Linked DNA regions of Saccharomyces cerevisiae S288C. The protein of the gene in region 2 interacts with the protein of the main gene of each other region in a biochemical or structural test. Each region holds a gene or a part of one and is shown on either strand. Other genes may lie near its edges.

Region 1 (7,521 bases), on a different chromosome or scaffold from region 2:
CAAAACTTCCGAAATGATAAAATGTTAATATTTTTCTGGATACCCTTAACACTACTACTTTTGACATGGTTCATCATGTACAAATTTGGCAACCAAGATAGTTCCATCAATCATATAAGCGAATTAATCTCAGAGTACTTGAGAATTGCATTAGCAAAGTTCTTGCTGGGAAATGAAAGGATGAAAACTGCATTCAGGTCAAAATTATCAAACCTGCAAACAACAAGAATGTTGAACGATTTAATTGTCAGTTAGTCTGCTTTTTTACGTATATATATATATATATGTGTGTATAATGAAAAGACAGTACACTTAAAAGAAGAGAAAGTCATTTAAAAAAAGTCAAAAAAAAATTAAACTTGTAAATGTCAGCGTAACGATAATGTATATACTTTAAATGTAAACTACAATCTTGAAGATCTTTTAACACGAGCGCAATGTCTATCGAACAATTTCTTGGCTCTAACCCAGACAGGAGCAGTTTTTCTTTGAGGTAGGAGCTCTAAAGATGGTAAGAGATCATGAGAGAAAAATTCTGAAGCTTCTCTTGGCAGCAAAGAAGGCAAGTGATCAATAGAGATGACAGATAATTTAGGCCCGGCAGTGGTAGGTACCAGAACGGTAGGTTTGTTAAACACAGTAGCCACAGTGTATATTGGGATGGGGTTGTGAGGGTTGGTAGTGTCTGCTGATACGTCCACCACGGTCCTTAGTCTTCTGTTAGGATTATTCAGTTTCTCCATGTTAGTGAAAGGAGCAATTGGCTTCGATAGATATATACAATTGATAAAAATATCAGCTTGTGGAATTTCGTCAAAGGGACCACCACGGGAAGTTTCTTTGATATCCCATTTTAATATGTTAGCATCTGGAATACCAACTTTGTGCAACAGATCGATGGCACCGGAACCACATCTTCCTAGCGCACCAATGATTAACACGGTTGGCTTTCTGGCTCCGGTGGCTAAGGCTTCTTTATAATCTTTGGTAACATCTTTAACCAATGCCTTTTCATTGGGGTAAGGCGACACTGCAGGCAAGTCTTCATCGTCAGAATGCGTTTGCTTGAATGCCCAGTCTCTTACACCAAGGGCTGCACCTGCGAACCCAGCGTAAAATCCAAAGGCAGCAACTCTTCTACCTTGGTCATTTTCCAAAAATTCCAAATCATATAGAGTACCGTGTCCCTTAATAAATCTCATAAGGACATTTTGCCACCCAGCTTGGTCTTTGTAGCAGTGAGCAAACTGGATGTGTTCGTGGACTAGAGGGAAAGTATCGGTTTCAGGCATTTCCTTCAAACCTATAATGATTCTGTCGCGTGGAGCGGTTTTCCATGAACCTGCAGGCACTATAATGGCACCTGCTTGACGATATTCGTTAATATTGAAAGTAGATTGTGGACTGTCCTCTACATATATTTTGAAGCCCTTAGCTATCAGTTTTTTAACCGTGGTAGGTGTTAAGGCAGCACGTGCCTCTAGGGGTTTAGTTTCAGCTCTTAGATGTAATGTGACGGCAGCCATTTTTGCGGTTGTGTGAAAAATAAAGCGTTTTCGTTGTTATCTTATGGTATGCCTCCTAAAATACCAGTTTCCGTCAGGGAAGATGGGCTTTTTATATATTTCATCGTGGTTTCTCGAGGATGACTTTATGACTCTTTGTCGCTGAAATCGCAGGGGAATTTTGGCGGTTGAGAGCGGAATTCCAAATTCCGCTGGAAAAAAAAAATAATAATGCAAAATGTATAAATGTATAAGAGTCTTTTTTGACTCATCGACTTAGTATGTAACAATTTATATGTACCTGCTATCCTCAAGGCATAAAGTCCGCCAAGGCAGGGTCATTATAGCTCAAGTACTGTCCATTAACACCGTCAGGAATACCATGAAGGGCCAATTTGGCATAAACTGTAGCTGGCACAGAGCTATCCAGCAACTGGTTATTCTCCTTTAAACCTCTAAACATCTTCAATTGCTCTGCACTCATGGAGGAAGGCCCCACGTTCTCCCTAATGTTAACTTGCATATCTGTGTCCACAATACCTGGGGCGACGGCAATGGCTTTCACTTGCCTTTCCTCGTTGGCCAGAGTCATGGCGAAGTGGTTCAGAGCGGCTTTTGAAGAACCGTAAGCTCCCCAACTGCTGAAGTACATGTTACAGGCGTCCGAACTGACGAATACCACGTTACCGTTGGTCTTCTTCAATTCAGGTAACGCAATGCCAACCAAGGAAACAATGCTGAAGAAGTTGATGTCATACAGCTTCTTCCAAGCGTTGACATCAATCTCGTTGACATTTTGCACGGGCTCTAGGACACCAGCGTTGGCAACCAAGGAGTCGATCTTGCCGTGGCCCTTAACAGCAGCGTTAACCAACTGCTTCAACACGGAATCCTCGGTAATATCACCGACAACGTAAAAAAACCTGTCGCCATACTTCTCTTTCAACTTCTTCAAGGGTGCCTCAGACCTGGCTACACCGTAAACAACCGTGTCCTTGTCCAAACTGAAAAGAACATCCACGATGGACTTACCGATACCTCTGGAAACACCTGTAACTAAAATAACTTTACCCATGTTTTTTTAACCTGTTACACGCTGTAGTTAGACCCTTTTTTTTAGGTACAATATTCTTCCATTGCACTTGATCTTTTTCGTTTACGTATATATATGCAAAAGTTAATGTTCATACTGTCTTCTCTTCATTTCTTTGAAAACACCGCGGAATTCCTTCGGTGATACATTCAATCCGGTTCTTGGCACAGAAATGGCCGCACAAAACTGTCGCTCATCGCAAACCCAATAAAAGTTTAGTAGCTAAAAACTATAACTATACCCTTTTACATAATATAGTTTAGTACTAGCCCTGCACCGGCCCCAGTCGCTCATCGTTGTAGCGGAGATATTGACCGTTCAAAGAGTCGGGAATACCTTTCAGGACGAGTTGCGCTAGTACCGCCGCAGGCACCTTTGGGTCCAGCAGTGACGAAGTCTTGTACAATTGAGTAAACCTCTCGAGAGCCTTGGGTGTCATGCCCTGAGGACCCAATGTTTCCCTAATATCTTTCTGCATCTGCGTGTCAACGACGCCCGGTGCAATACACACGGCACGCACTTTATCACTGGGCTCTTCACTGGCAATGTCCATGGCAAAGTGGTTTAATGCGGCTTTCGAGCAGCCGTACGCCGACCATCCGTTATATGGTTTCACACTGGCTCCAGAGCTGACGAAGACAATGTTGCCTACAAATGGCGAGCTCTTCAAGAGGGGTAAACACAGTGCCACCAAAGAGACAATGCTGAAAAAGTTCACATCGAACAGCCGTTCCCACTGCTTGATGTCGTGTTCGGAGTTGGACTGGGAGATGGACTTCACCGGTTCTAGCATCCCCGCATTTGCGACAATACCGTCCAGTTTTCCATGCTTTTGCCGGATTTCCTCCACCAACGCTTCCATTCGAGACCTGTCCGTGATGTCGAGGACACGATAGACAAATTTGTCTGCACCGTATTCTCTTTGCAAAGACTGCAGACCAGCTTCCGTTCTTGCTACGCCGTAGACGATGCATTCATCGTCCTCTTCGATAACAGTTTTCACCAATTGCAGGCCAATCCCACGGGAGGCACCTGTAATCAAAATAACCTTGCCCATATCCCTTCTTTGACAGATTATAAGTTGTTTCTCTTGTTGCTGTTCGCGACAGCCCTTATTTCCTGTATTCCTTCTTCTTTTTCTGCATTATCGTTTTTAGCCACTTTACGAAAAAGGTCAAAAAGTGAAAAAAAGAGGGAAAAAACCATGAGGAACAGTATGCTCCCTTAATATCGGAAAAGCAATAGTAATAAAAACAGCATCAGAGCTTTCCACGTCTCTCTCTTCCAAGCTGTCATCTCGTAAAGTATTCAAGTTTATCATGTCAGAATTCTATAAGCTAGCACCTGTTGACAAGAAAGGCCAACCATTCCCCTTCGACCAATTAAAGGGAAAAGTGGTGCTTATCGTTAATGTTGCCTCCAAATGTGGATTCACTCCTCAATACAAAGAACTAGAGGCCTTGTACAAACGTTATAAGGACGAAGGATTTACCATCATCGGGTTCCCATGCAACCAGTTTGGCCACCAAGAACCTGGCTCTGATGAAGAAATTGCCCAGTTCTGCCAACTGAACTATGGCGTGACTTTCCCCATTATGAAAAAAATTGACGTTAATGGTGGCAATGAGGACCCTGTTTACAAGTTTTTGAAGAGCCAAAAATCCGGTATGTTGGGCTTGAGAGGTATCAAATGGAATTTTGAAAAATTCTTAGTCGATAAAAAGGGTAAAGTGTACGAAAGATACTCTTCACTAACCAAACCTTCTTCGTTGTCCGAAACCATCGAAGAACTTTTGAAAGAGGTGGAATAGGCAGGTCTTCTTCTTTTGAAGTTAGGTAAAGCTTAGTTTTCTTTTATATTTCCTGATAATACATACTCGCTAGTCAAACCTGTCAATTATTATGTGTCGCAACAGACTATATACGTATACATACATATGTATTGAAGTGTGTGAACGAATTACGCGGCTGCTAGTGCCGTACGAACGCAACAAAACGGTTTAGAAATTGCTACCTAAAGCACGCGCCTTTTCCTTAGAAGCAGCATACGACTCCTCTGAGGTTATGGTCTTTAACCATTTGGAAATGGCAGGATAATCCTCTGGTGCGGCAAACTTTCTTTCAAACGCCATCTGCAAAGGGAAAGACATCAAGATATCGGCACCGCTCAACTTCCCATCAACCAGGTAGCCGTTATTTTTGGAAATTTCACCCTCCACAAAGTCGAACTGGTTCTTAACTTCACCACTAGAGTATGCCTGACTGATCTTGTCTGCCACTTTTCTTGCCAAGTACGAAATAGGGAAGGGCATACCAGAATCCTTCACCTTTGAAAGAATGAACTCAATCATTAAAGGTGGTTGCAAGGAACCTTCTACATAAAACAGATAATAGTTAATCTGGTCTGCAATATCAGCATCTTCGCTCATTAAAACGTGTGAATGATCAAAATGCTGCAAGACATATTGGAAGATGAAACCGGACTCGGCAAGTATCTTCTTCTTACCAGTTTCTCTGTCTTGAACTTCTAACAATGGAGATCTTCCTAATGGGTGAATTTTCTTTAATTCTGGTGGAGCACGGAAGTTAGCATCTCTTTTATAAGGGACAATTTCATATTCAAGGTTCAAATGGTCTAATAACCACAAAAGTCTGAACGCTCTGGAATGGTCCAACCAATGGACTTTGATAATTGGCAACGACATAATGCTTCCTTGATTTACCTTTTCCCTCTCATTTTAGGTTGTTGTAAAAAATATCAACGATCGTTTTATATATAAGGATTCTGCCATAGTATTTCAACGTTATCCACTTCCCCTAAATTTTCACCATACTGGAGCGAGCGGGTACGAGGTGAAAATCATTAGTAAATGGCCGTAGCATGAAAAGTGCGATTGTCATAGTAACAAGGAGGGGCTTATCCTTGGCTATTGCGAGGCACCCCCTCTGTTGCTAACGGAGGTTGTAACTGCCGGTGGTGGTTTTCCTATTAGGCTAGCCTTGGCATACAGATCACCCTTAGGGCCCACTTTGGTGTGAGCTTGAGGTGCTTAACTTTGTCAATACAAGACGGGCTGGGCTAAGCCTTGTAAAAATCCTCATTTGAGCAATGTACTAGTTATAAGCGCAATAGGTGTTTTTTGGACACCCTGTTTCCGTAATATGTCCTCCCCCAAGGGAGCTTACACTCTTGAGTAAAGTCTTCTTCAAAAAAGTAAGGTCAAACCCCGAAACTGAACGCCATGCATTTCCCCCAGCCAGATGTATGTTACTATCAAAGATCTTATCCATGCAATGTCAAGTTACCGTATAGAACCGATGACGCACTGCTCCGTGCCCATGAACTGCATTTTACCGACGGTATTTGGCTAAAGAAGAGAGGAGCTGATTCAATACAAACTGTTCGTAAACAATTACGATTCTAAGGATACTAGAAGCAGCAGCGGAATGAATAGACGGTAACCTTACAAGAGAATAAGTACGGTTGCACTAGTAATATATATAGAAAGTGAAAGCTGGCCTGTTTTCTTTACCGTCACCTGCGCAGTGCGAGCCAAGAAAAAAATAAAATGATACAAGGAAAAAAAAAAGTTGAGCAGGAAGCAACTTTATTTGCTCAGGATGGTAGGCTATAACTTTTCTTGCAGTAGTAATTACAATGGTGGTCACTTCATTGAAAACAGCTTCTAGTACGATAAGTGGCCGGCGTTGGACATGAACAATATCTGCGATATTATACCTACCAAATCCGAGGTTAAGCTTCCCGCCTTAGACCGTAGCTGCAATGATTCAAATCAACAATGTCGCTTCCGTAAACCTCTCGTTATATATGGTAATAATATTAGCGATTACTTACGTATCTTCTACCAGTAAGCAAAGCAAATTCTCCATATTCTAATTGTATTGACCACGGCTGTAAAATTAACTAAGCCACTCATTCTTGGATGGTTCTATCTGACACTTGTCTGTATGAAAGTATTACTGATTAGCTCTACTTTAATCAATATGAGAAGGAACACACGGCTAAAACCATTCTGCGTACTTATTAATACTTCTCAGGAATAATTGAAGCGATGCAGTGTAATCTGCGGTAAGAGCATTAATCTTTAGTAAATATATTGGTTGAGAAAAGCGAAGCTTATCGCGTGTCATCGTGCATAGCACTGATTAAAAACATAATTGCCCATGCACTAGCGAAATGAGCCCAGTCCTTAATCCATACGTGGTCGTGCTTTACTGAATATCAGAAGATGCAAAGGCTCTTTTCAATTATCTAGTACATTGAACTTAGGAATGTGGGGAAACTGAAGGTCAAGGAAAAAATTAGCGCCATATGTTGGTATGATGTCAATAGCAGTAGAAAAATATATAGACAAGAAAGACGGGGGAGTAAGAAGTTCTGCTCGAGGGTATGGGAAACCACAACAAGGTACAATATTCTTACATAACGTTATTATTATTTCTTTCTCCATTTTTCATTATCAATCCTTGAATTTCAGCTCCAACTAAATCTGATGACCGTCTCTCACTTTCTATATCGTTCTCTACACAGTATATTATAATATACCAATAACACGAACTCCAGTCAGTAGATCGTTGCCGATCTTCATTCTAACAAGACAAGAGATGAAAGTATTACAACAGAAAGATGGCACTTGTACTTATTAAAGTAGAAGTGGATGTATTAGTCCTGGATATGCTTTATTTTTGAAGCATAAGAACAATAAGAACATCTTCTTAGCCGGCTGAATAATCGCTGATAATTCGATTTTAAAAAGAAAAGTACATCGAAAATTATGTGCTAAACAAGATATTAAACTTTTCTTCTTTCGATTGCACCAATCTGAGGGAGCAATTCATAAATGGCTGAAAAGAAAAAGAAATGGTTTGTGCTTTCGATTAGTTGCTTTTACAAAATTCTTG
Region 2 (8,480 bases):
CAGTGCACTTTTATATCTCTTGTCTTTGAATTATTGCAGGCATTCTTTTATCAGGAAAACAGTCATATACAATACTTTTTTTTTTTTTCATTATCAAACCTTTTTTTTTTTCCTGGTCTGGTTTGGGAAGAAAAAGCTCTCCCCCTCGTGTAATTATGCACGGGTAGGTAGGGTAATGGCATGAGGAAAACAATAGAAAATTATTTTAGAGCAATATACAACACAGCGTCGCTTTGCAGAAAAAAAAAAAGAAAAAATTCGACTGTCGCAGCCTCTTATTTTATGTCATTACAGTTAATTTATTAGAAATTAATTTTATAAATTTTGATTTTTTCTCATGCCTGTTTTTGATCGTGAGATGGGAAATTTTTTATGTAAAAAAGTAATGTAATATAGTAGTAAAATAAATAAATAAATCATTAATATTTCCTGTGCATTATTGTTAGTTTATTAGTAGATTAGTTCCTGCCTAAAAAAAATTTTGCACCATTGTATTATGCTTATGAAGATTCTCTTTCAAATTCCTTCGTCATGTCAGCATTGTCAATAGCACCGCAAACAGTTTCACACATGATACCTGTAACCAAGTATGGGTCGATGTTGGAAGCTGGTCTACGGTCTTCAAAGTAACCGTAACCTTCCTTGGCGACGGATCTTGGGATTCTAATTGAGCTACCTCTGTTGGCGACACCAGAAGAAAAGGCAGTCATGGAAGCGGTTTCATGTCTACCAGTTAATCTCATGTCGTTATCGCTACCGTACAACTTAATGTGTTCAGCGTGTCTCTTGGATAACTTCTCGATGGCTTGTTCGATGTATTTCATACCACCTGGTTGTCTCATTTCCTTGGTGGAAACGTTAGTGTGACAACCGGCACCGTTCCAGTCACCCTTCAATGGCTTTGGATGGAATGAGATCTTGATACCAAACTCTTCTGCCACTCTGTGCAAAAAGTATCTGGCCATCCATAATTGGTCACCCATGTCAATACCGGTACATGGACCGACTTGGAATTCCCATTGAGATGGCATGACTTCAGCGTTAATACCAGAAATTTCTAATCCGGCATACAAACAAGCTCTGTAGTGAGCTTCGATCATGTCTCTGGCATAAACCTTACCGGCACCAACACCACAGTAGTAAGGACCTTGTGGAGCTGGGTACCCACCCTTTGGCCATCCGTAAACATCGTCATACATGTCAAATAGAGTGTATTCTTGTTCTAGACCAAACCAGATTTCTTCATCCTTATGAGCAGCAAATAGCTTGGCAGCTTCGTGTCTGTGGTTGAACTTGTTTGGAGTACCGTCATTGTTGTAACATGCGGCCAAGACAACAATGTTGTCACCTCTCCTGAAGGGATCTGGGTAGTAAGCAACGGGTTTCAAATAGATGTCAGAGTCGTGGCCTGGCGCTTGGTTGGTAGAAGAACCGTCGAAGTTCCATTCTGGCAATTGGTCAATGGATGTGATTCTCTTCTTCAAAGTTCTACCTTTGGAACGTAAGTTACCAGTACCATCGATCCAAACGTATTCGGCAATTATTCTACCTCTTTGGTCCAGTTCTAGATATTTTTGTAAAATTTGAGTCTTTTCGATGCTTGCTTCAGCCATTTTTGATTATATTATATTATATTATGTTTAATTTTTGTTTCGGTTGAACTTCTTCTATAAATGAAATGAAGTTAATTTCTCACAAATATGTATGTGATTCTATAGTTATCTTTGTGTGATGTTCTTACCTAACGAAAACAAAGACAGAACAACCTACGAACCAACCAAGCCTGAGAATTCGATATATAGAATCACTCCCTTATATATTACAAAAAAAGAAATCTACAAACTAAAATAAAAACATGGCAAACAATATGCGTCGGAGTCATCTTTAATTCATTATCAAGCCTACTACTTACACCTGACCGCTTACACTAACAAATGAATTAATTTTTCACTCTTTTTTCATATTACTTTTCTTTTTTTCATCCTACTTTTTCTTTTTTTGTTTGTGTTTCGCTACACAGGACATCAATGCGGCATATCAGCCTACTCTCCTGCCAAAAATAGTGTACTATTTTCGCATATTTGGGGAATAATAATGACCACAAATGGCACTATGATGCGAAAAAAATTTTCGATAAAACACCGTCTGGCATCGTCTGTGCGGACCAACTGCTGTAGAAGACTTTTTTTTTTCTGCCTTCGCGAGCTTATCTTATCTATTAGGGGAGCGCAGTCATCAATTGTAAACAAACGTGCGAAGCGATCCGTAGTCCTATCCGGGTAACACTCATCGTCCGGCCTCCGCCCCCTTTTCCCCGGGAGAACCGTATGCGGGTACTGGGTTTAGGGGATCCTTGTTTTGGTTCTCGCGAGTGTTTTTCCGATTGCGAGATTTTATTTTCCCTTTCGCATCATCCGGACGAGCCAAAAGCGCCATTGTTCCGGCCGCACGTGCAGCGCATGTGTACTTGCGCACTTTTGTTTACTATTGTCCTGACAAACTGATTACCAAATGTCTTTGAACAGGTGGGACAAAGAGAGACAAAAAAGCGGCTATCATGTAGCTGGGACGATATTCCGCCGCCGGGTAGCGCATATTGAAAAATGGCTGTTTACAGTGGGCCTCACTAGCTTAGAGTTCATCTCTATATAACTATTTATACAGTTTTTTTATATTAGAATGGGTTCATCGAGTTATCGCGTTTGTTTATATGTCCCTCACTCAAAGTAGGGGGTGGACTGAATCTTGAAGGAAACCCGCTTACTCCTTACTGATAGCTACTACCGGCGCTGAGAAAAATGGGTCGAGATCTCATCTCCTTCTAGCCGCCTACAATCCCTTTTGGATATTTGCGCCTTACCACTAGTTTGTTGCGTTCGTAGCCTGCGACTGCTTTCTGTCTCTTTTCAGCGTTTCGTAATCTTCCTTAGAGTACCATTTTCCCAAGCTCCATGATGGCAGATTGGCCATTGTAAGGGCGCCCAGCCATCCCTGGATTTTACGGTCCATCATGACTTGGTTGGCAAAAGTTGTCAATTTGTATTGCGGGAACCTGATTGACAGCTCCTTTATTATGCGTTGCTCCATACCTTCGATCAGAGAGGTAGATCCTGTGATGATGACGTTCGTCAACAGTAGCGAGTATACTTGTTCTGGTGATATGTTGCTGCTGCTGGCAGTACTGTTATTATCGCCAACATTGGTGTTTATATGGCTTGTACCCAATCCGTTTGGGTTGGTGGAGGTATTGGCCTTCATTGAATTTATACTAGCGCCGGCCTTCTTGACTGATTTTGCCATTAGCGGTCCCAGTCCGTCCTCTGGTGAGAATTTGTCTGATATCAGTTGAGGTTTGAAGAGATACTCTGCGAATTGGTAGCACTCCTTAAGGTCCAAGGTTAAAGTCTTGTTTAATGGCTTGAATAGAAAATTTTTCTTTTGAACCAACGGATTGTTGGGGCTTCCCGTTAACGCCGTGTACTGAAGTTGCTGATCCATTTGTTTTAACTGCTCCTGTTGCTTAGCGTATATATCTGCTTGCTCTTTGTAATACCTTTCCAACTCAAACAAGTCCTTTTCGCTTACTTGCAACATAGTAGACTTGAATTGCTGAATCCACGTGCTTGCTTCGTACCAAACGTCGGTGGACCTTTTTTGCTCGTCGGCCATGTTTTCCATGTCGTTCTCTTCTTTAATCAGTGGAGCCAACCTTTCGTGTACTTGAAAATCCAAGAAATCACCGCCAAATTTAGATCTCACTACAGCATTCTTCACCACAATACCGTCAATGATGGGAGTAACGTTACAGCCTGACGCGCCGATATCAATCACGAATGCAGAACTCTTGCCCATGGATAGGGCAATTGCCAATGGCTCGATTACAATCTGGAATACTGGTACATTTAATTTGTCGAACGCCAGCTCATAGTAGCGCTCTAATATGGCCATGTCCGGTTTACCATTGGTGGCAGGCATCGTAATCACCAGTGGCAGTTCCTCGGGTGAAACTTTCAATTGGGTGTCGTACAGATATCTCCACTGCATCTCCAATGCGTCCCAATTGTACGGTAACCCTTGGCTATCTACCAATGTATACACCTCGTCACCATTGCGTTTTTCTGCCGCAGCGTCTATCATATTGTAGGTTCCGAATATAAACTCAGCTTCCCCCCCCTCATCTGTTCTTTTAATATAGCTAGAGGGTATAATGCATTGTGGCAATTCAACGTTACTAAATCCAGCCACCGTTCTGTGCGATCCGTTATGTATCACTACGCACTTCCTATTCAATGTCATTCTTGACAGATCCTTTATAATGTAGTAATTCTCGCGCTTTTGCTAATAGCCTACTACTCTGTTCTATCTCTCTTGTTTACCATTTTCCGCTTTGTTTTCTTGTTTGAGGTTTGCTTTATTTTTTCTTTATTTTCTTCGAAACGCGGCCATCATTTTTTTTTTTCAGGATCACTCAAGGTGAACAAGTCTAAGTATTGAAAGGTGTGAAGACTTGCCGATGATATACTTATATGAACGCCGTGATGCGTACGTCTTTGATGGAAATATTGTATATATCTCTTTCTTTCCTTATAATCACTGTTCTCTCTTGTGTAATAAGTAAATCTATTCGTTTCCGTGTAAGGCGATAATTTTTTTGTTTGAAATTTTTTATCAAGTTTTTTTTTTTCTTCAATTCTAACCAGCTCGAAGATGACTTATGGCCTTGATCGACCGGGCTTTTAAATGAGTCTTACGGCCCAATGTGTTACTTTAGAATAGTTCCTTTCTGCTCGTCTCTTGCTTAATGCTTAGTAGATCACTAAATAAAGTAGTCACATCTATAAAGTCGTCTTCGATAATCAGGATGTCATCCGCTACCGCTGCTGCTACTTCTGCTCCTACTGCTAATGCTGCTAATGCTCTAAAAGCTTCAAAGGCTCCAAAGAAAGGTAAACTACAAGTGTCTTTGAAAACACCTAAGGGTACGAAGGATTGGGCTGATAGTGATATGGTTATCAGAGAAGCCATTTTTAGCACTTTATCTGGCCTATTCAAGAAGCATGGTGGTGTCACTATCGACACACCTGTTTTCGAGTTAAGAGAAATTTTAGCAGGCAAGTATGGTGAGGACTCCAAACTGATCTACAACTTGGAGGACCAGGGTGGTGAATTATGTTCTTTACGTTACGATTTGACCGTTCCTTTTGCCAGGTACGTTGCCATGAACAATATTCAGAGTATCAAGAGGTATCACATTGCAAAAGTCTACAGAAGAGACCAACCAGCCATGACTAAGGGTCGTATGAGAGAATTTTACCAGTGTGATTTTGACGTTGCAGGCACATTCGAATCTATGGTTCCTGATTCCGAATGTTTGTCCATTTTAGTGGAAGGTTTGACCAGTTTGGGAATCAAAGATTTCAAAATCAAATTGAATCACAGGAAGATTCTTGATGGGATCTTCCAAATCGCTGGTGTTAAAGATGAGGATGTGAGGAAAATCTCTTCTGCTGTCGATAAGTTGGACAAATCTCCATGGGAAGCAGTCAAGAAGGAAATGACCGAAGAAAAAGGTCAATCCGAAGAAACTGCTGATAAAATCGGTGAGTATGTTAAATTAAATGGTTCTTTGAAGGAAATTCACGCTGTTCTATCCGCAGATGCCAACATTACTTCAAACGAAAAGGCTAAACAAGGTTTGGATGATATTGCTACTTTGATGAAGTATACCGAAGCATTTGACATTGACTCATTCATCTCTTTTGATCTTTCTCTTGCAAGAGGTTTGGATTACTATACAGGTTTGATCTATGAAGTTGTTACTTCTGCATCTGCTCCACCAGAGAATGCTTCAGAATTGAAGAAGAAGGCCAAATCTGCAGAAGACGCGTCAGAATTCGTTGGTGTCGGCTCTATTGCAGCCGGTGGTCGATATGATAATTTGGTCAACATGTTCTCTGAAGCTTCCGGCAAAAAATCTACTCAAATTCCATGTGTTGGTATTTCATTTGGTGTTGAAAGAATATTTTCTTTGATCAAACAAAGAATTAATTCCTCTACAACTATAAAGCCAACGGCTACACAGGTGTTCGTTATGGCTTTTGGTGGTGGTAAGGACTGGACTGGTTATTTACCCGAAAGAATGAAGGTTACTAAGCAATTATGGGATGCTGGCATTGAAGCTGAATATGTCTATAAGGCCAAGGCTAATCCTAGGAAGCAATTCGATGCTGCTGAAAAAGCGGGTTGTCACATTGCCGTAATCCTCGGTAAGGAGGAGTACTTAGAAGGTAAATTACGTGTCAAAAGATTGGGCCAAGAATTTGCCGATGATGATGGTGAATTGGTTAGTGCGGCTGACATTGTTCCTATTGTTCAAGAAAAGTTATCACAAATTCATGAAGATGGTCTAAATGAGGTCACTCGTTTAATTAAAGGATTATAAACTTGATAGCTCATGTATTTACAAACCTTCGTAAAACTAGACATGTATAATGAAAAATAAATCGATTCAAATTAATTTATAAAGCATATAGAACTAAAAAAAAATAAGTATAGAAGGAAGTTGCTCATTACCCTGTATGAATTAGTGTATGTATTTAAAAACCAAGGGCACCTTTCATTACATCTTTTCCAGTCTGCTCAACAGCCTCGTTCATTGTTTCTCCCATGGCGGTAGCATAGTCGTTGAATCTATCTTCAACGGCGTCCCATCTAGTTTCTACAGCTCGAGAAACATTTCTTAGTACCCCGTAACTACTGTTCCTGCCCTTACGGGTGGGCTTGGTATACTGGTGTTCCGGATGGTTCGCATTATTATCGTCTGAAGAACGCTCCGAGAAACTTCCCTCAGCAATGATGCTCTCTTTGTATTTGGATGCAGGTCTATTCACGCCACCCAATAATTCATTTAATTGAGCGGGAGTACAATATACAGTGCCTCTTGCCCACTGTAATGAATTTACTTGTGGCCTATAGGGAATCCTGATTCCATTGATGTACAGTGTGTCAGAAACTGGCGCTAGCGTATCCTGTTCCTTGACAGTAGAAAATAGTGACGCCTGAAATTCACTCACTCGAATCGCTATATCACCATTTCTTAAAACAGATGATTCTGTAATGTATTTTGCGGCAATTGGAAATGGAATATGTTCAGACATTTGTTCTTTGAAATCTGGAATAGTAAAAACTCTTAGATGGCCATTGATTTCTAATGTAATTATTACGGTTAGGTTCTTCCTATCATTATTTTTCTCAACGGTTGAGATGTAAGATAAACCTGTCGCGGCAAGCGGGTATTTGAAACCTTTATGTGTACTTTTAGATTTGCCCAGTGTTATTAATCTGATATCATCGAATCCAGTTATTAATACAATACCAGGAATGCAAAGGCCTTTACTTAAATTCTGCATTTTTGGAATAGTTGCCAAGCAGCTAGATTTTGTTTCCTTTGAAAATGCATCAATTTTGTGTATCGGACCCTTACTGGTAACATTAGTAATATCCATTAGTTGCACATCGAACTTTCCACCTGATGCAGGAAGAATTTTGTATGTGATTACCTCGCCCATATCAGTACCACAGACCATCAATATACTAGAGTAACCATCGTCTCCATACTCCATAATTACGAATTCGATGCAGGTAACACATGCGCTTTGAGCTCCCGAGATTTCTCTAATGTTTTCCATGTAAATGATTGCAGGACCTCTTCTATCGATCAACATAAGGCTTCCGGCAGCATATGCGATTCCAACAAATCCAATATTACTGTTGTTGATTGCAGATGTTTTCCCTTTGTTGGCATGCACGGCAGTTGATGGCATAAATCCCTGCCTAACACCGGTAGGTGCCCTGTCTCTCACATCGACGAGAACACCATTCGTATTATTCAAAGAAAACCGCCTGAAATTCATCTCCAGGTCACCGCTTTCTGGTCTGTTCTCAACACTGTAAAACTGGTTTACTTCATATTTGAATAAAACAACGTCTCCTGTTTCAATTGACACCGCCAACTCGAGAGTCTCTGCGGCAAAAGATATCTTATCAACTGCTAGTTCTTTGGCCTTGTTCAACGTTCTTGATAGATTCACTTCAAAGCTAGCATTATCTTGTATATCCCCATGGGAAGCATCGTATATCCTAACTGAGCCATTAGAATGGCCGGTAATGAATGCTGTACCGTACTCAGCGGGAAGTTTTTGCCTTTTTGTTCTAACCCCTCCCTTCAACAAATAATCCTTGTTTTGAGCTGCAGAAAGCGCACCAAGCCATAATTTGTTTGGTACAGAAGCGGCCATTGAAGTCGTGGCTAATGGTCTCAGCCAGGAAAGATTTTGAGGGAATAAAGAGGCTTTATCTGTAAATATTCCAGAAGGATATAGCATTGTTTCTATCTCACCGTTACCTAGGATTAACAAAATTAACCCCGGATTATGACATCCTGCAAAATACGGGGACTGTCTTGGAATTGGTAGTATATT

Evidence for each region.
Region 1: the proteins of GLN1 (region 2) and HYR1 form a complex in vitro, tested with the Saccharomyces cerevisiae proteins (one study listed by BioGRID).

Annotation. Positions count from the first base shown.
Region 1 is NC_001141.2:419,211-426,731, forward strand, and holds HYR1 (peroxiredoxin HYR1), read left to right. Parts: upstream 1-3,917; coding exon 3,918-4,409; downstream 4,410-7,521. Other genes in the region: MGA2 (Mga2p), read left to right, coding at 1-255; LYS1 (saccharopine dehydrogenase (NAD+, L-lysine-forming)), read right to left, coding at 405-1,526; NRE1 (sepiapterin reductase family protein), read right to left, coding at 1,816-2,580; sepiapterin reductase family protein IRC24, read right to left, coding at 2,864-3,655; GTT1 (bifunctional glutathione transferase/peroxidase), read right to left, coding at 4,599-5,303. UniProt on the Saccharomyces cerevisiae protein: Involved in oxidative stress response and redox homeostasis. Functions as a sensor and transducer of hydroperoxide stress.
Region 2 is NC_001148.4:635,341-643,820, reverse strand, and holds GLN1 (glutamate--ammonia ligase), read right to left. Parts: upstream 1,614-8,480; coding exon 501-1,613; downstream 1-500. Other genes in the region: ARP7 (Arp7p), read right to left, coding at 2,863-4,296; HTS1 (histidine--tRNA ligase), read left to right, coding at 4,802-6,442; Rab GTPase-binding protein SRO7, read right to left, coding at 6,597-8,480.